3 linked regions of the Caenorhabditis elegans genome follow. The protein of the gene in region 2 interacts with the protein of the main gene of each other region in a pairwise test. Each region holds a gene or a part of one and is shown on either strand. Other genes may lie near its edges.

The links.
Region 1: the proteins of F40F8.5 (region 2) and mex-3 interact in a two-hybrid assay, tested with the Caenorhabditis elegans proteins (one large-scale study listed by BioGRID).
Region 3: the proteins of F40F8.5 (region 2) and nab-1 interact in a two-hybrid assay, tested with the Caenorhabditis elegans proteins (one large-scale study listed by BioGRID).

Annotation. Positions count from the first base shown.
Region 1 is NC_003279.8:125,497-133,294, reverse strand, and holds the start of mex-3 (K Homology domain-containing protein), read right to left. Parts: upstream 6,011-7,798; 5' UTR 5,999-6,010; coding exon 5,959-5,998; intron 5,911-5,958; coding exon 5,859-5,910; intron 4,599-5,858; coding exon 4,399-4,598; intron 4,351-4,398; coding exon 4,171-4,350; intron 4,129-4,170; coding exon of another isoform or gene 4,120-4,128; coding exon 3,962-4,119; intron 1,193-3,961; coding exon 742-1,192; intron 684-741; coding exon 602-683; intron 1-601.
Region 2 is NC_003280.10:11,132,347-11,136,626, forward strand, and holds F40F8.5 (Filaggrin-like), read right to left. Parts: upstream 2,583-4,280; 5' UTR 2,582-2,582; coding exon 2,311-2,581; intron 2,249-2,310; coding exon 1,991-2,248; intron 1,944-1,990; coding exon 1,878-1,943; intron 1,767-1,877; coding exon 1,635-1,766; intron 1,492-1,634; coding exon 1,357-1,491; intron 1,311-1,356; coding exon 1,179-1,310; intron 1,130-1,178; coding exon 1,007-1,129; intron 960-1,006; coding exon 857-959; intron 806-856; coding exon 679-805; 3' UTR 506-678; downstream 1-505. Other genes in the region: F40F8.11 (NADAR domain-containing protein), read right to left, coding at 29-91, 140-238.
Region 3 is NC_003279.8:4,227,888-4,235,586, forward strand, and holds the start of nab-1 (Neurabin-1), read left to right. Parts: upstream 1-1,689; 5' UTR 1,690-1,781; intron 1,782-1,998; exon of another isoform or gene 1,999-2,000; 5' UTR 2,001-2,027; coding exon 2,028-2,120; intron 2,121-2,876; coding exon 2,877-2,972; coding exon of another isoform or gene 2,973-3,056; exon of another isoform or gene 3,057-3,255; coding exon 3,256-3,338; intron 3,339-3,686; coding exon 3,687-3,875; intron 3,876-4,608; coding exon 4,609-4,816; intron 4,817-5,184; coding exon 5,185-5,347; intron 5,348-5,593; coding exon 5,594-5,800; intron 5,801-5,998; coding exon 5,999-6,636; intron 6,637-6,825; coding exon 6,826-7,173; intron 7,174-7,632; coding exon 7,633-7,699.

The DNA.
Region 1 (7,798 bases), on a different chromosome or scaffold from region 2:
AAATATGTATGATAAATTGTAAATTTCAGTAATTTTCCTTTAAATTTCAAGTTTTTCTCATAAAATAAATAAATTTAACTTTACCTCTTAAAATTGGAATTTCACCTTTTTCTCTCAAAAACGAGGTTTTGAAAAAATCAATTTTTTGCATGTGAAAAAAAACATATTTTTTTGAAGTTCAAAAGAAAATTACAATTTTTCTTTTATTGTTCAAAAAAAATTTTCTTTTTATAGATTTCTGACGGACAAAATCCAATTTTATTTAAAAATTTTTGAATTTCAAATGAAAATTATAATTTTTATAGAGAAAACTACGATTTTACTCTTTTTTATTTTCAAAAACGGATAGGTTCAAGATTTCGGAAAAATAATTTTTTAATGTGAAATTTTTTAAACATTCTGAGTTTTAGAAACGTTATTTTTTATTTAAAAAATTGATAAGAAGCCGTCAGGTTCCGAGTGGAAAACACGAAAACTTGTTTTTTTTTTAAATTTTTTAGCGGAAAATCAAATTTTCTTTCAAAAATTTAGAACTTTGAAGGAAAATTGCAATTTTTAGTTTTATTTCAAAAATTTATAAAATTCCTTCAAAAATATATACCCATTGGTTGGGGATTCCTCGCGTTTCTCCAATCCCATCGACGACCATGCGGACAGGGCATCGTACTTGCGGCTGAGAATTTCTGAAAAATCCTTATTTGTCATTTAAAATTCTTATTAAAATTCGCAAAAAAAGCTTACCGTTCTCCATAATATCATTAAGCGAGTTGTTGGTTCCCCAGTAGTCGTAGGTTGGCAGATCTTGTTTCGCCGATTGTCCTCCTCCCAACGATGGACGAGAAGACAGTCCAGTACCGGAAAGAGATTCCGGAGTCAACGAACTACGCATCGATGGGAAACTGCGGAGCAACGCGTCCAATCCCAACGAGCTCTCCATTCCGAATGGCGACGACGACATCTCCTTCTGATTGAACGGATTACTGTTGCCGAATGCTCTTCGATAGAACATCGATTGTTGCTGAGCCTCCTGCATTTGTTGTTGAGCCTGTTGCTGCTTCTGCACCATCAACGAGACACCGGCCAACTGTCCGGCAAAGTCATTGTCGGTTTCTGGAAGATTTCCGGTTCGCTGGAAGATGTGCGTCTCGATCTCCTTGCGGGCAGCCTCGACGTTATGTGGGAGGCCGGTCACCTGGAATAGAAATAGTTATATTTTTGTAGTTCTCGCAAAAAACTTATTTTATTACGGAAACACAAAATTCCAGAAATGTGTATTGCGCAACATATTTGACGCACTAAATATCTAGTAGCGAAAACTACAGTAATTCTTTCACTGATTACTGTAGCTCTGGATTTACGCGCTCGATTTTCGAATGAATTTCTTTTCGTTTCTTCATATTATTTTCTCATTTTCTTCTTAAAAATATTTTTCCATCGATAAATTTTTTAAATTCATTTCTTAGAGCACGTAACTCGAATTTCTTTTTGTTTCTTCATATTATTTTCTCATTTTCTGCTTAAAATTATTTTTCCATCGATAAATTATTTAAATTCATTTCGTAGAGCACGTAACTCAAAACAAGCGCTACAGTAGTCAATTTTATGAATTACTGTAGTTTTTGCTACAAGAGATTATGCGCGTCAAATATGTTGTGCAGTACACATTTTCAGAATTTTTTGTTTTCATTATAGGAAATATGCTTCCGAATTTTTGTGAATTTAAATAGTTTATGTTTTTTTTTTAATTTTTCAATAAATGTTATTTCCAATATTTTTCCCCAATTTTGTACGTTTTTCTCGGACTCCTTCGCGGAACTGTGTCATTGAGGCATAGATCACAATCTCTGATTATCGAGATGGATATCAAAACGACACGCGACCTCTGTCACTGTCTTGTGAGAACTTTTTCGGTGAGAAAATTAGAAGTTTTTGAACCAAAAATTGATTTTATAAGTATGGAAAATGCTCAATTTATCTGAAAATAAAACCTTTGAAAATTCAACAAAGATCTCAAGTGCACTATTTGAGGTATTTTTGAAATGTTCAAAACGAAACAATTCTATTACCAAACTAGTCGGACATTTTTCTATATTTCCATACCAATTATTCATTTGAGCCACGAACAAAAACGACAATTGGTCTTTTTAGAACGCATATAATATCCGAGGTGAAGCTTCTGTACCTTTCCCTCATATTCTCCCAAACATCATGTAATTCCTTCCCCGCCTGGCAAATCCATCACCTCCTTGTCTCGTCCAGGGTACCGGAGGCATTTGTGTCAAACGGACAACTAAATTGGGAGGAATAACGATGAGCGCACCGCACCGGGGCAAGATGTCATGTACTAGTGGGCCCGCACTGTCAACACATTCACAGTTCGTCCGGCGACCCAGAGTAGTGGGGGATGATAATTACCATTGTGAGGAAGGAGGAAAAAGGCCATGCGGATACGGTAATTTATGTCGCCACACACACACACACACACGCATCTATAGACACATACGGTCAAAACCGTCAATTACATAACCCTAATATGATCTGATTACTGTTCAAAAGTTCGGAAGCCTTCCTATAGAAACAACAACGACCTTTGTTCGTCATTTTGAAGTACCCCTGGTGCTGCCACAAAATGTTGCTCTCCCTGAGCCAACGGTGCAATAAAACCAAGCATATGTGCAATTTGGCGCCCGCCCCGGTCATTTAATTAATTGAGTCTCTTTGTCATCGCGATCCCCCCCCTTTTCTTCACCCTACTACCCTGTTAGATGGAATGAAAGAGTTGGTGCGTGTGTATGTGGACTCCCCATCGCGTGACTCTTGGCTCCAAAAACCCGGGCGGCCCCATCCATCGGTAATTCGACTAATCTACTGTGTGCTGGATGTTTCTCAAGGCGTCATTGAGCATCAAACTGAGATATCTCATCAACAATGATATTTTGCTGCCAAGAAGAAGAAGACGACATGCAACATTAATCGGTCCCGCGGGGGGAATTCTACCAAATTAAAAGATTCTAATCATCATCTCTCAGTGAAGACCCTAAACGGCTCCCGAGGAATTTTTAGCATTTCGGATGGAAGGAAACCGTTTAAAATTCACACCAAGAGGTCACAAGCCCTTCCGCTGCTCGTTTCGGCGCCCATGGTTGCTCTTTATTCTCTTTAGAATATCAATTCCGCACAAGTTTGATTGTTTTTGTTTGTTTGCCACAGCAGTGGCAGCCAATTCACAACTGTACGACCTCGAAAATCGCTCGAAACTCGGTGTCAGGAAGAAAACAAGAGACGGCCGAAAAGAATTGGGTATATCACACCAGACACTTACAAACACACATGTGTTTTCTGTCTCTGTCTAGGCATTAGGCTCCCCTTCTTGCAGTGACGAGGAAAAACAAATAATCGGAATGAAAGATTGACAATGGTAATGGGGACCTTAAAAATAGAAATTTGTAATGAACAACTTCTATGTAAAACTCGAGAGAAGTGTGTCGCAGAAATCAAATCCTGATGAGGTTTTCTAGAATCACGGTTATCGCTGAGACTTTCAGAATGATATATTTACAAACTTTGCTACAAAACAGCCGATTTTCTTATGAATTCTCCCCATTTTACAATTTTTCTAGATTACTTATATGTAAAAATCGAGGAAAATTGGAGTTGAAATCGGTTTTTATACAGAAATATTTCAGAAACCCCGCCGATTTTTAAATTTTGTTAATTTTCAGCAAAGCAACAAAAATTGGACCAATATTATGAAATAATAGCATGGTCTAATTATCTAACTTTTCTTAGTCATAAACTTGAATTTTTCAGTCAAAAGTAGATTTTCAGCACGATATATGCCATGGAAAAGCCGATTTTCAGTATTTTCTAAGCCGAAACTAGAAACTTCTCTGTTTTTGTTAAAAAGCATGAAATTGCTGAGAATTTTGCTCCAAAACTCTATGCTCTCCAACAAAATTACCTCAAAAACGGGCTCCCTTTCTCGGCTCGGCGTAATGATGTACGTGTGGGTGTCCTGTTGAATTCGCTTGATAGTCGCTCCTTTCGGTCCGACGACGAGTCCGACAACTCTTAACGGAACTCTGACATAGCTCGTGATCTGTCCAGGTGCATGGGCTCCTGGAACAACTGAACAAGGCGCTCAGGAACCGGCTGCCTACGGTCACCTACCTTGTGTATGTCTTCTCGACGCACGGATCTGTGTGAAGTGCTCGGCGGCGCAGTCGATCTCTCGTTTCGCCTCGTTCACGTCCTCCAGGCGTCCGGTGACCACGAAAATTGGATCTTCTCCGCGAACCGGTGTCTTGATGTAGGTGTTGGTCTTGGCGCGCAGTGCCTTAATTTTGCAGCCTGAAAATTTGTGGAAACTGTAGATTTGACTAAAAAGGCAATTTTTACCTTGACGACCAACAATCTCGGCGACATGCTCCGACGTCGGAACTTCCACGGACTCTGTGACATTTTGCACGCCTATCGACGTTCTGTAGTTGAGAAACTGCGCAATATCCTCCGGATCGCTGACTGGAGAGCACGAGGCAGTGTCCTCCTCGTAATACCAAGCCCCTGGCAATTTATAGGCGATTTGTTCTTCCTTCATTCTGAAAAATGGTTATGTTTGGGCGAAAATCGATTCAAAAATCGAAAAATAGAGGTTTTTCGGAATTTTTAAGGATATTTTCGATGAAAACCGCAGGTACCCATGTAGGAAGGGCAAATGGAGAAAAAGCGACAAAACGAGGCGCATATGATGAGAAAGACAGACGGGCAGCGGTACGCGCGCACAAATGGCAAAGCAGTACACGGACAAAGAGTGGGGCGGGTGGGTGACGACAGGCAACACCAACTGGTGTGTGTGTGTGAACGCGACAAAAATCCGAAAAATCCCGCCAAAAGAACCACCAAAAATTGAAAATTTTCGGCGCCGAAAAAATGAAAGAAAAAACAGAGAGAGTACGGTATCACTCATTTAACGTGTGTGAGATAGTGTGTAATTTTGGGCCGCCGTGTTCACGTACAATACGCGGAGGCGGGGCTTGGATATCGTAGTATTAAGTGGGAAATTAAATACAGTTTTTTTTTGTGTTTTTTCCAAGAAAAATGAAAAATCGAAAAAATTGTGTTTTCAGATATGAAAAATTGAAAATTTTTGTATATTTCAAAAAAATCGATTTTTCGAATGAATTACTTGAAATTTTGGTCATTTTTTAAGCAGTATAAACGAACAAATTTCGATTATTTTTGCAAAAAAAAACCGAAACTTTTTCCACAGCACCTTTGAAATTGACTCTGTTGAAAAAGGAAAAAAAATAGCGCATTTTTTCAAGTAATCTAGAAAAGAGGTTGCGATCAAGAACAAGGGTAATAAAAAGGAGGCAGGCGTGTAACAAAAAATTCGATCCTTTGAATTTTTGAGGAGGAAATCTTTTTTTAAAAAAGGAGAAAAAAATTTGGATTTTTAACTTTCTCACGAAAATTGAAGGGTGAGGCAAAAACTTAATTGCGGTTCGAGGTTGTTTCCAAGAAGACTTTTCCCCTCTTTTCCCTCTTTTCTCTCCCTATTCTCTTCTGTATGTTAAATATCCGACCCACTTAAAAAAAAGGAAGGCGAAATTTCGAGATATTCTGTTTGAATGGCAACACGTTTGCCGATTTTATACCAGTCATCCTTGAACATTCCGTCTATTCTCGCAAGGCCATTTGAGGCTTTTTTAGAAGCGGATTTTTAGAGATTTGGAGGATTTTCAGTGGGAACATTAATCAAAAAGTTCAAAAATCATCCGAAAATCACGAATTTTGAAAAGAAAATTGGATTTTTTTTCGTGTTTCTTAGACTGTTAGCTTATTTGCCGAAAACTCACGGTTTCCAAAATTCGGCGTCGTTCCACGTGTTATGCCCGTTTGAGAAGCCTTCTGGAAAAATTAAAAATTTCAAAAAAAAACTTCAAAAAAATTGCTCACCATTTCTCATAGAAAAAGGTCTAACGCTCACGACTGGCATTTTACCTGAAAATCTGCGATGTTTTGGGGTTAATAATTATGTGGTTGAAAAAAAAATTGATAAGCGGAGAAATTTGTCACCAAAAAAATATGGAATTAAAAAATTGCAATGGAAATCAGAGAGACAAAAATATACTACGGGTACACAAAATTATAAGAATGCGTATTGCGCAACATATTTGACGCACAAAATATCTCGTAGCGAAAAAACAGTAATTCTTTAAATGACTACTGTAGCGCTTGTGTCGATTTACGGGCTCGATTTACGAAATGAATTTTTTTGAATTGTCGTGTTTTCTTTTAATATTTTATCTGTTAATAAATAATTTAATTAAATCGGCATCAGTGCTACAAAAGTCATTTAAAGAGTTACTATAGTTTTCGCTACTAGATATTTTGCACGTCAAATATGTTGTGCAATACGCGTTTTGGGAAATTTGTATTCCTGTAATACAAAAACGACAAAAACGATCCGTCATAATCAGCGACCAAAGAAAAAAAGAAAAGACAGTGGGCTCCCAAAAGGGGGCGGGGACAGTTAGAGGTTCAGAGAAACCGATGGTGGGGGGCGGGTCTCTTTTGTTGTTGTCGTGCAACATTTTTCGTCCAGGGGAAGAAGAGTGAATAAGGAAGAAGAAATGCAAATTAAGGTGGTAGAAGGATGAGGATACGGTACTTTGGGACAGAAGAAACGAGAAAACAATGGAATTTAAAATGAGATTTTAGAAATGTGTAGATGTAAATGACATATTGAAACTGGTCATCTCGTTTTTTTTTGGCAACACTAGTTTCACTTTTAGGCCAATATTCAAGGGGCTACAGTACCCTTAAAGGTACATACTACTTCTCCCATAAAAAGCGGCGGAACGTCGAAAACAGGAGAGCGGTTGTTTTTTTGGAAATCCGATCTTCCGTATATTCCACGCCGAATCTGTTGGTGTCAACATTACAACAAAAACAATTTGTTTGCGTTTTATACGTTTTTTTTTTCGGTTTTTTTAGAGGCCCACCACGATTTACACAAAATTATGCACTCATAGTGCATCGACGAAAAGCAGTTTTTGAAGGGTTGTCGGTTTAAAATGTAATTTCCAAATAAGCAAGGTGCAGAGTGTCCAATAACTAGAAAATCTCGAAACTGTTTTTTTCCCGAAAAATCGCTAAATTTCATTTTAAAATTATCATGTTGAATCGATGAGAGCAGAATGTCGTGGAATTTCAAAATTTGGTTACAGAATGCGCCGTTATAAAGACAGATATTGGTCCTCTCATGGAAAAATCAAAAAAAAGTAATTTGAAAAAAATACCATCATGGTGCATCGAGAACAACTGAAATGAGAGTATTCGGCGGAAATTCCAAAGTTTCCAAAGAAGATTAAAGGTGCATGTAGGTCTCAAAAAACTTTTCCGAGAAGCAATTTTGAAATTTACTTCGAAAACGTTATAGTGCGTCGAGAATGAAACTATTTGGGTCTCGGAGTGATTTTTTTTCTGAAAATCGATAAAAACGTCATGGTGCATCGCAAAAATCGCTACCATTCTTACTCTAAAGTTATCGCCAAACAGCATTATGGTGCATCGAGAAGTTCGAAAATTCTGAAGACGTTAGAGTGAAGGGACACAAAATGAAAGACATTTGCATGTCCCACAATACGGTTAAAAAAATAAATATTAAAATTCAGCTTGAAATTTTCCACCATTAATTTTTCGAAAAGGCTCAAAATGTAACCCAAAATTATCATGGTGCATCGACAAGAACGGAACATCATGGTAAGCAGGCGCGGTTTCAGTGCCTACCTGA
Region 2 (4,280 bases):
AATATTGGTAAAATATTAAAATATTCACCTGGGCAGAAGATGAGAAAAAGTTTGGTGTCCCACTGAGTGATGGATAAACTGGATTATACTGCTGAAAATTCAAATAATAGAAATTGTTTTTCGGAAGATTAATTAAAACCTCTTGAGATTGGGCCGATGGAGCCCAAGAGTCATTTCCAGAACTCTGCCCGTGGCTGTAATAGTTGTTATTCCAGGGATATGAACCCGAATATGCCATTTTATACAATTCACTAAAATTTTTAGTAAATTTATCGGTTTTATAATTTATTTCTCGCTAAAAAACAAAGTAAATTCACAAAATAAAATGGAGAAAACCGCTGAATGTTCGAAAATAAAAATAAGAATTATTTAGCAATGGGGCGCGATTGCAGTGTTCCAAAACCGGGGAAGTTCAAATCTATTTATTTGGAATTTCGAGTTAATTTGATGTGATCTATTTATTTATTGTTATAACCGATTATTAATATCCTTCAAAAATATACAGAAATTAAAAATTTTATTCAATTATTCAATTCCACACCGAAACACAAACACAAAGTTTTGAAGCATTTAGTAGGTAAGCATATAGACACGAATAATGCTCACAGATTGTGCACAAATTTAGCTATTTTGTTCTTTCTACAAGAAATTCGAATGAAATTATTCATTTCCATATGGTTACAGCTTTCCGTAGCACTTGGATACTTGAGTCAAATATTCCGAGTATTTCTTGGCGCGGAGCTTCTGAAGAGCAAGAATATCGTCCTGTTGTTTTCCCTTTGGAAGATCTTCGTCTGGTAAACAGCTGAAAAGGAAGCCAATTGTGAGAAAGAAAGAAGAAACCAGAAATAATTACATATTTTCGCGTTCACAATGCTTTGTGAACTTTGAGCTCATCGCGGAGAGCTGATCATGGCCAGCTGTAGAGCAGACAGTACGGCGGGAGCGAGAAGCAATCACTGAAATTTGGCTCTTAAATTTGATAAATTAATGAAAAATGTATTACCATGTCGCCTCTTGTGATTGTGTCCAGTATGGTCAACATTTGGGTCATTTGGATCATGATCATCAGATCTACGACGACGATGATTGTGTCCAGTGTGGTCGATGGTAGTGTCACTCGGGTCATCTGAAATTAATTTACTTTGTCGACGAACACCTACACCACAATGGCTCACCATCCTGATCTCTCCTACGTCTATGATTATGTCCAGTGTGATCAACATTCGGATCATTCGGATCATGATCCTCTGATCTACGACGACGGTGGTTATGCCCGGTGTGATCAATGGTAGTGTCACTTGGGTCATCTAAAAATAAGAATTTTTTAAGGTGAAGTTCTCATTCAGCACCAACCATCATGGTTTCTCTTGCGTCTATGGTGGTTATGCCCAATGTGATCTACATTTGGATCGTTTGGGTCATGATCATCAGATCTGCGACGGCGGTGGTTATGACCGGTGTGATCAATGGTAGTGTCACTTGGGTCATCTGAAAATCCACAGAATAATAAATCGTAGCTTGTCAAATGCTAAAGGACTTAAAAAACTATCTAACAGGAAATCAAGGTTAAGACTGCAGGTAAGGGTAGATGGAAATTCAAATTTTCGAGGTGGAGGTACAGAAAGCCTTACCATCATGGTTTCTCTTGCGTCTATGATTATGCCCTGTGTGATCTACATTGGGATCGTTTGGATCATGATCATCCGATCTACGACGGCGGTGATTGTGTCCAGTGTGGTCGATGGTTGTGTCAGTCGGATCATCTGAAAATAGATTTTGTTTAGGTATCGAAATTTTTGTTAACGAAGTCTTGCTCTGACTTAGTATGAACTATGATGCTCTTGGCATTGCCTGATCTTTAAAAATTTCCTTACCATCTTGGTTTCTCTTGCGTCTATGATTGTGTCTAGTGTGGTCGATGGTAGTGTCACTTGGGTCATCTGTAACTGAACAGGTTGAACTTCAATAAATAATAAAAATCTTTTACCATCGATACTTCTCTTTACTCTATGGTTATGGCCAGTATGATCAACATTAGGATCATTCGGATCGTGATCTCCATTCCTTCGGACTCTTCCATGATGATCAACATGTGTTCCGTGCTTCTTACGATCCATATTTTCCCGATGCTTCATATCATTGCCATGATGACCCTCATGATTGTGATGTCTTCTTCTTCTTGCATGATCATTAGTGTCCTCTTGATCCTCAGTAGGTTCTCCCATGTCACCATCGAGAACTGTTCCTGAAAAAATGACAGATTATTTTTTTGTTGGTTTTTTTATGCCTGAAATACTAAAAACTAACTCTTCGGCCTGCTCTTCTCCTCGACATACTTTCTGCAAGCAGTCACAGCCTCCTTATACTCATTGGAAACCTTTTGGAAGTCCTTCCAGCTCTTTTCTAGCTCCTCCTTGGTCTCGCAGACAGCTTGCGAAGTTTTTTGTTCGTGGCATTCTCGTTCCAGCTGCTTCTCTCGTTTGTTGGTAGCCATACGGAGAATTGTATCAGGGGAGCATTCAAATGCGATGGTTGAGATGACCAGTAAACTGGCCAATAAGGAGATCCGAACAATCATCCTAAAATGGAATGTCTTCAATTGAGTTGCAAGTTTAAGAGCTTATATCTACACCAGGGGAGGCAATTGCCGTTTGCAAATTTTTTGCCGACAAATTTGGTAAATCGGCAAATGGCGAATTGCCGATTTGCCGGAAAATTTCAACTCCTGCAAATTGCCGAATTGTCTTTTGCCGGATATCAGATTTGCCGGAAACACTTAAAACACGTACAATTTTGCCGATTGAAATTGAAATTCTGAAATTTTCAAAAAAAAAGTCCAAAACCCAAATTTGCCGAAAATATTGGGCAATTGCCGTTTTTCCGACAAATTCGACAAATCGGCATTTTATCGGCTTGCCGATTTGCCGGAAATTTCAATTCCGGCAATTCGCCGCCTACCTCTGATCTACACATATTTAAAGTTTAGTCAAAATGATTGGGAACTGAAAAAAAAAAATATAGAAGGTTTATTCAATCCCAGAGAGTACTGATTTTGTTAAAAATTGGGCAACTTCAAACATAAACAAGCTTATCAACTGATAGAAAACGTTTTTTGATAAACGATCAAAAAGGGCTGGTCAAACATTTTTGATTGATTTGAGAAACTCTAGCAAGTAACAGTAGTAAAAAAAGTAATTGAAAACAAATTTCGGCTGTTGGACACATGCGAGCATGCTTTTATTGCCCACCGGAAGAGCCCAGTAGTGGTTTTCAAGTTTTTTTCTTCATGAGAAATGAATGGGGGGGGGGGTATGAAGGAGTTAATTGATATTTTCAGGTCTAGAAGATTTAGGGAAAATAAAAAATAAATGAAATATAATTAGAATGATTCAAGTGTACTAGAATAATCTAAACTCGAAAAATAAGAAATTCCTATCTCGAATGCACTTTTTAAACGGCCTGAAAACCTGACAAGATATTGTCGGAAAATGACAGTTGGCACAATTTCGTGGAATGATGTAATTCAAAAGAGCAAAATGACATCGAAATTCGATTTTGATTGGCTCTCGAAAAACCCAAGACACAAGTGCTCAATCAATCAAAATCTGGCTCAATAGATCTTCTTCTTTTCTCGTGTAATTCAGTATTGCGGGAAAAAAAAGAGGAAGAGAGGTAGTTTGTTTTGGTTTTCGTTTGGACCAATTTGCTTGAGTTGTCAGGTCGAATCAACGGGAAAGAAGTGTGAGTTGACAATATTAAAGAGCAAAAGGGAGAAGCATATCAACAAGTAGATGAGTCAATAGCATGTGATGATCATGATAGACGAATTATTTTGGGAGAGAAGATAAGAAATTACAAGGTTCGAGGGTTTTCAAAAATTGATGGAAAGAATTCAAACAACAAACATTCTGGCAGATATTTTGGAAAATCTTGTTCTGAAAAAACCTGAATTTATTTTTAATGGAGTTGCAAATTAACAACTTTTCGGTCTCGTAAAAAAGTGGCCTAAATTTGAGAAACATTTTGCAGAATTTTCTTAGAAACTCCAGGATTTGGCTGAAGTAGTTTTATTTTAAGATTTTAAATTCTAAAAACGATAAAATATAAAATTTGAAACTGGGGTGGGCGGCAAACGATTTTTTTCTCGACAAATCGGTGATTTTTGCCGGAATTGAAAACTTCCGGCAAATCGGCAGACCGGCAAATTGCCGATTTGCCTAGTTTGCCGAAAAAACGGCAAATGCCAAAAATTTTCGGCAAATTGTGGTTTTTTACAT
Region 3 (7,699 bases), on a different chromosome or scaffold from region 2:
CCCCCATTTTTTTGCAACGTTTCTTTACTTAGTTTTCTTTCTATTTTTTTAATGGTTGCCACACAATTTTTGTTATATTTTCTCCGGATGTTTTCCACTGGCTTCCAGCCCGTTGCGCACTTTCATTCCGGCTCGTTTATTTTTGTAGACATCGTCAGTTTCTTGACATTTCTTATTCTTAAAAGTTCAAAGTTTATTGGAACTTGAAAAAAATCAGAGTTTGAATTTTAAAAATTTTTTTCAGCATATTTTTTGCAAGTTTAGAGATTTTAAATTCCAAAATTGATTTTTGCAGAATTTTTTTGACAGTTTTTTTTAAACTGAAAATGTAGTACTCAAATCAATAGTAGCCAAAGCAATAAAAAAGGCTTGAAAATATATTCCCACCTGAAACAATTTGCGCTCGGAAAATTTAAATTCAGCCAATTTCAGCAACCTTCGTCAATTTAAGAACACCCTCCAGTATAGAAGCTGGGTTTTTTATTTGCAAACTTATCTAGAATGCTGAAAGAAAACTCGAAAAGTATTGCTATTTGTTCCAGATTTTTCCATATTTTTCACACTCATTTCCCAAAAGCTTCTGGCTCCAAGTAAATATTTTTCCAATTTTTTGCCAGTCCGTAAATATATCTATAGCCTCCCTCGTCGTCATGTTTACATGCTCAATTCCATCCTCATTTCTCATTATTTCCTTCATTCATTCTAAAAAATCTTTTCTTAGAATGGACACTTTTAATTTTATATCTGTAAAAATAAATATGTGAAAAGAAAAGTGAGGAAAAAAACAAAGATTGAGAGCCCCCGTTCTGTGATGATTGATGAATGTCGGGTGTTTGAGAATTTTTCATCAAAAACATACTTTCCTTCATCTCTGATTTTTTTTTGGATTTTAAGGATATGTAGAACATTTTGTTTTCCTAATATTTCAAAATAAGATTTAGTTGAAAAATAAATTCAAACATCAAACCTTATTGGCCGACACCCTCACGGTCAAATTTGCCTATCTGATACCCTGAAGTTTGAGCTTATTTTTTTTTGGTTAAATTTTTTGGGCCAAAAAATCGGTGGTCCAATTTCGTGACTTCAAAAAAAGTATTCAAAAATACTAATTTTTTGGATCAATGTAGAGCGCATTTGCACTGATGTACCGTAAAATATGGCGAATTGATAATTGAATTCAAAAATGGTTCGGCTGTGCGGTTCAGATAGGGCGAGTAGAAAGGCGAATAAGAGGTGCCTTCCTACGTCTAGGAACACCTCGTATCTGTGATCTAACTTTAAATTTTTATCCCCAGAATTATTTGCGAAATTTCTGATTTTTGCGACAATTCTAATTCAATAATTGATTTGATTATATCGAGTCTAGACTCTCTATACTTTTTGGCACCTTTTCCCTTTTAATCTCCTTTTTTCTTCCACTTTCCTCTTGCCTCCGCTCTGAATCCGAATTTCGCTTTTCCTTCTTCACACAAATGAACGCAATCCAATTAGTCCTCATCCAACCACCCCGTCCGGTGCCCAAAAACCTGATCCTTATCACAGTTATCACCCGGGAGACGAAAAAGAATATAATTATGAATAAATAGATATTTTCACTTTCCCGTAAATCCTTCTGTCATTCCTCTTCTTCTTCTTTTCTCCAAGCCTCGGAAATATTCTAATCAATTCTGAAATTGAAAATCTCTTCAGAAAAGAAGACGTCGCCGGGACAACAACAACAGCAAGTGGGCGGTGCATGCGTCGTGCGCACCGCTGCTGATAACAAAATAGTGTGCGAGACGGTGAGTCGCAGACAAATCTCACGGGGGAATATCATTTCAGGTCATTCCAACCGGAGAAGACATGCGCGCAAAACGGTCCTTTATTGTTAAGGTTATGCAATATCCTCGGATATTGACACCCTTTCCCGTACCGCCCGTTCGCTCCTCAGTTCCCCTAAACTGATACGAATTATATCCGCTCCCCAACCTTTCCACCTTTTGAAAAATTCAATTTTACAGCTGCCTAATTCAATCCAAACAGCCGAGATGACAACGGCTTCCGAGCTGCTGTCAGACGACGCAAGAGCTCGATTCTCACATACAAAGGCTCTTTTTGAGCAGCTTGAGAGACAGCAAGACGTGAGTTTTTTTTGGATGATAATAATTGGTTTCCGAATTTTGAAATCATTTTGCTATTTTGCATTACGGTTATTTATTTTTCTTGAAAAAACTCACTAAATTGTGGATTAGAGCATATATTCCAGAATTTTTATGCAATTTTTCGCAAAATGATTTTCCTGGCTATATAGATCAAATCTGTAGCTCCCTATGAACAAGTTTTGCCTGCTAGTAGATTCTTCACTTAGGCCTTCAAAGAATAAGTCCCCTCTCTTGATTTGATCTATGAAAATTGCTGGAATTTTGCTCACAGGAAAAGTGAAAAAGTATGACGTCCCCGCTCTTTAGATCACCAGCTGAAAAGTCTGCGTCTAAATTTGGCGAAGTTTTCGGAGATCATTCGGAAAAGAGATACTCTGACTACCAGTTTCTGTATCACTTCACAGCCTCACGTTTAAGAAATTTGACGTCACGTCTGAAAAATGTCTGAAAAAGAGGTTTCCCTATGATCAAGTTTTGCTCAACAATTATTAATTTGGGTCAAAAGTTGGAAACACTGTCGACTTGATTTAGACTTCTACCATATTTATAACTCAAGTTTTGTTAAACACAGCTTAAACCCAGTATTTTCAAAGTCTTGCCCAAATTTTGCCAACTTCTGAGCTAATAGTAAGCTAACTTTTTCAAACATCAGATGCCCGCCACGCTTTTTCCAAAACAAACTCTAAATTGGGCAAGCAGACTACTGTAGTGTCAATTAAAAAATAATGTTTCTAGGTTCCATCATTCTACTCTCCACGTCTTCAACGTCAACCACCACCTCCATTACCCCCAAAACCTCCATCTCAATGTCCGCCGAGTCCGATGTCACAGGTATGTGTGATCAAACAATCACATGGCTCTCTTTCTCTCTCTCTCCTTCTCTTTCTGTTTTCTGGAAAAAGAAATGGAATTTAAAAATTCAAAGACTGTGTCAGTTAGTCAATGTTTTGTGTCTCCAACACCCCCGTCTCTGTTATACTGTTCGGTTGACTAATCCGCTCATCGATAATAGATTCAAAAATAATGGCATTTACTCATATCACACACACACTCCTTTCCCCCATCAGACACACACGCATATAACACATAATCGAAAACTCGAAAACTTTTCCAGGTCGAACGAAATTTCTCTGATTTGGCCGCGGATCTCGATCGGATCCAATCATCGCCGGCAACGTCTAGGTTTATACAAAATAAGTGAGTTGTTTTTTTAAGGATTTGTTACCATACCATAACTTTTTTTTAATTCTCAAAAAAATGTAACTGTAATTTTTTTTGATCAATCGCAATTTTCTCCATTCGGTTCGCGGGCCAAAGTATTTTAATTTTTTTTGGTAGTTACAAAAAGTCGCCTGCAACTAGATTTCAGAAATTCTAGGAAACTGTGCGAAATTCAGATAAATTAGTTGAGAATTTTTTTAAAGGAACTTTTTTGAATTTTCAAATCGAAAAAAAAACCAAAATCTCTGTTTTTTCTTTAATTTCAACTAACATTCTTCTTTGCTTCATTATCAGCTTCGCATGCCTTTTCTTTTTCCAATTCAGATCATCAACTCTTCCGTCATCATATTCCGATTCCACACAGCAGTATTCGTTCGAAAATACGGTTGCCACGTCGCAATATGGAGGACTTCAAACCAACAACAATAATAATAATATTAATATGAATTCATTTGAACCCTATTGGAGAAATGGATCAATATATCGGAGGCAATTCGAAGGAAATGGCAAACCGTATGTGTTTCGCTTCTTTTATTTTTCTTACTTTCTCGCATGAGTTTCTTTATTTTTCTCTATAATAGTTTTTTTTCTTGCGCTGAAGTATTTTAGTTGCGACTAACAAATATTTGTGTTTTTTCGAAAAAAAATGTGGCCTAGAAAAAACCAGAAACTTGGCCAGCATATTTTCTTAGATTTCTCATTCGGGATTTTTTTTGAATTTGCTAAAAAAAAGATCCTTGTGACTTTTCCAAAGTACAAAACTAAAAGTAAAATTTTTGATTCATTCAGGAACACGGTCTTCTTTGGATCTTTCAGAATAGTGATGGCACATAATATCTTGAAATTTTCGAATTTTTCAATTTGAAAAATCTATTAAGATTACAGAAATTGCTAAAATAGCGTGGCCGAGTTTTCTCACATATCGGCTCGTTGGAACCGTAAAAACCCTTTTCAAGCCCATTGTTGGCAAGCTTATGAAGGATCTATCGTAACCTTAAGTTTTTAAAAAACCGCACTGTGTTTGTGATAAAAATTCATTTAGTGTGTCTAGATATATTTTTAGAACGCCGATTTTTTATCGGACATTCACATTTTTTAAAATTTAAAAATTTGATACGATTTGCGCCAGATTGTTTTTTTAGTAAATTTAATATATGCAGGCACCTGAAAAAACCAATCATTTCATGAAAATGAGTTGCTGTTAATATAAATAATCAAATTTCTTCGATCAAAACTTTTTTTTCAGTTTTGGCGAGGAAAACGATGGAATCTCACCAACGACGAATGGAGTGAAGCACACGACATACGCCGTCGTCAAAACACCAAAGGAAACAGAACTTGAAACAACATCAGAAAACAGAGGACTCATGGAAACACGGAGGGGTCTGAGTCCAGAGAGGCCTGACGTGGATTTAACGAATCGAAAGGTCTCGTTCAGCACTGCACCTATTCCGGTAAGATCACCCACTTTTCCCATTCACTCATGTTTCTTTGTTGTTGCAAGTTTGCTCTATGGAATGTATGATGTTCAAAATAATTTTATACTTTTTCTAGGCCAAGACAGATTGAAACGTGGCCGAGAAAAATCTTTTTGAAACTATCAATAGAGCAAACATGCATTCACTGAAACTTGACCACCACAACCTAACATTTCCTTTTGTTTACATATATGTGGCAAGGTGATATTAATTCATTAATAGATATATCTATACAATCTCGAATTAGGTCACCTTATTGATATGATAAGAGATGAGGAACAAGAGAAAAAGAGAAAGAGAAAGCGATCTTCATTTGCATAATATCTAAACGTTTTCACTTTCAGGTCTTCTCGGCGTTTTCCGTTGAAGACTACGATCGCAAGAATGAAGACATTGATCCGGTGGCAAGTTGTGCTGAATATGAATTGGAGAGACGACTTGAAAGAATGGATTTGTTTGAAGTTGATTTGGAAAAGGGTGCCGAGGGACTTGGAGTCTCTATTATTGGTTAGTGATTGTATTGTGGCTTACCATAACTTAGAAGCCTTGTATCTCGGTTACAATCGGATGTTGCTCACAGTTTCTGTTTCATTTTTATAGTTGGAAACTTTCTTTTCTCGGCATAACCAAAGATAACCGAGATATAAGCGCTTAATTAAACTTGAAGGAATGTCAACCTGAAGCTACTGTTTAGGAAAAAATTATATGCTTTCTGCCTGCCTACGGTTTTCGGATAAATTCGTTATGTTTCAGGTATGGGTGTTGGTGCAGACTCGGGTCTTGAAAAGCTGGGAATCTTTGTAAAGAGCATCACACCTGGCGGAGCTGTTCATCGAGATGGACGAATTCGTGTCTGCGATCAAATTGTTTCAGTCGATGGAAAGAGTTTGGTCGGTGTCTCACAGTTGTATGCTGCAAACACGTTGAGATCCACCAGCAATCGAGTCACTTTCACAATTGGTTGGTTTTTTTTGGAGTATTGTGCCGAACGCGTATGATATATTGCATTGATGACTCCGTGAAATAACACAAATATTTTTGTGTGCAACAGCGACTCAATACACCATATTCCGCGCAAGCGTAGAGAAAAAAAGCATCTAGAAAATATTTCAATTATGTTTACCAGTTATCTTCCAATTTAAAAAAAATGTATTGCAGGTCGCGAACAAAACCTTGAAGAATCCGAAGTTGCTCAGCTAATTCAACAAAGTCTTGAACACGACAGAATGAGAATGATGGGAGACGAGGAAGACGATATCGAAGAGCCGCCACCACCACCATCTCAAATGCCACAGCTACCAATTGAACAGGATCGTCCGACAACTTCAATGATCACAAAAGAAGAAATTGAGATTCGTTCGAAGATTGCTGCTCTTGAACTGGAACTTGATGTTACTCATAAGAAAGCAGAGCAATATCATGAAGTGTTGAGCTCAACGAAATCACATTGTGATCAACTGGAAAAGCAGAATGAGCAGGCAAATTATATGATTAAAAACTATCAGGAAAGAGAAAAAGAGTTGTTGAATCGAGAAGAGAATCATGTGGAACAATTGAGAGATAAGGATGTACATTATGCATCATTAGTTCGTCAATTGAAAGAACGAATTGATGAGTTGGAATCGAAATTGGAAGAAGCTGAAGAGAGAAGGCATTCTATTCAGAATCTTGAGCTTATCGAGTTGAGAGAGAAGTTAAAGGAGAAAGTTGAGAAGAGGAATGAAGGAATGGCGTATAGACCAGGTGGAGAGCTTCCTCACGAGGATAAGGCTGTTATGGTTAATTTGGAGACTATTGTAAGTTGGAGAAAATATGAAAGAACATTCATCTTCAAACTTCATTCTAAAACAGTTTTCACATAATGCCTAAAATTAAGCTTGAGCGTAGGCCCTATGCCTAAGCCTAAGCCTACGCCTAAGCCTAAGACTAAGACTAAGCCTAAGCCCAAGTAAGAAACTAATTATAACACCCATTTTCATTTCCAGACTCCATCAACCAAAAAAGATGCGGAAGTATCAGTTGGAAGTAGTTGGACAGAAGAGTACTCATCACCATGCGAGTCGCCAGTCCCTCGTATCTCCGAGCCAGCATCTCCGGCTCTTCCACATAAATTGACGCATCGCAAACTTCTGTTCCCACTCCGAAAGAAGTACGCCGAAAACGAGTTCTGGCGTGCCACGTGTCAACCAGTTGGTCTTCAAGCTCTTCATTGGACGGTGGACGATGTTTGTCAGTTGCTCGTTTCAATGGGCTTGGACAAATATGTGCCAGAGTTCACCATTAATAAGATCGATGGAGCCAAGTTCCTCGAGCTCGACGGAAATAAACTGAAGGTGAGTAAGATGTATACGATCCCGGCGCAAGAAAACTCGGGTAGAAAAAAAAAACGCTGCAATTACATAACGAAAAGTTAAACTATTTCGTAGGCACCAAGGTGCTAAAATTTTTTAAACTTTTCGGTTTTTTGGGTAAAACCGAGAAAAAGATTCCTGAAAATTCTGAAATGAATTCAATATTTATGTTACACTCTATTTCATAAAAACAACAGAAATGTCACTTTTCGAGCAAGAGAGACTGAACTTTTGTTTTTGATTTTTCAGTTTCTTGTGCCAAACCCAAAAACCCTTCAGGTCTAGTAGGCACAGTCTGCCTACCTGAAAAGTGCCTAGAATATACAAGGCTTAAAATAGGTGCATTCTATAAACCTTATGTGACGTCAACTTTTTCAAATTTTCCACAATTTTGGGAAATCACACCACTTGAAATTGTTTATCTGAATCAATATTTTTTAGGCAATGGGAATTCAAAATCACTCGGATCGTTCTCTAATTAAAAAGAAAGTAAAAGGAATGAAGAATA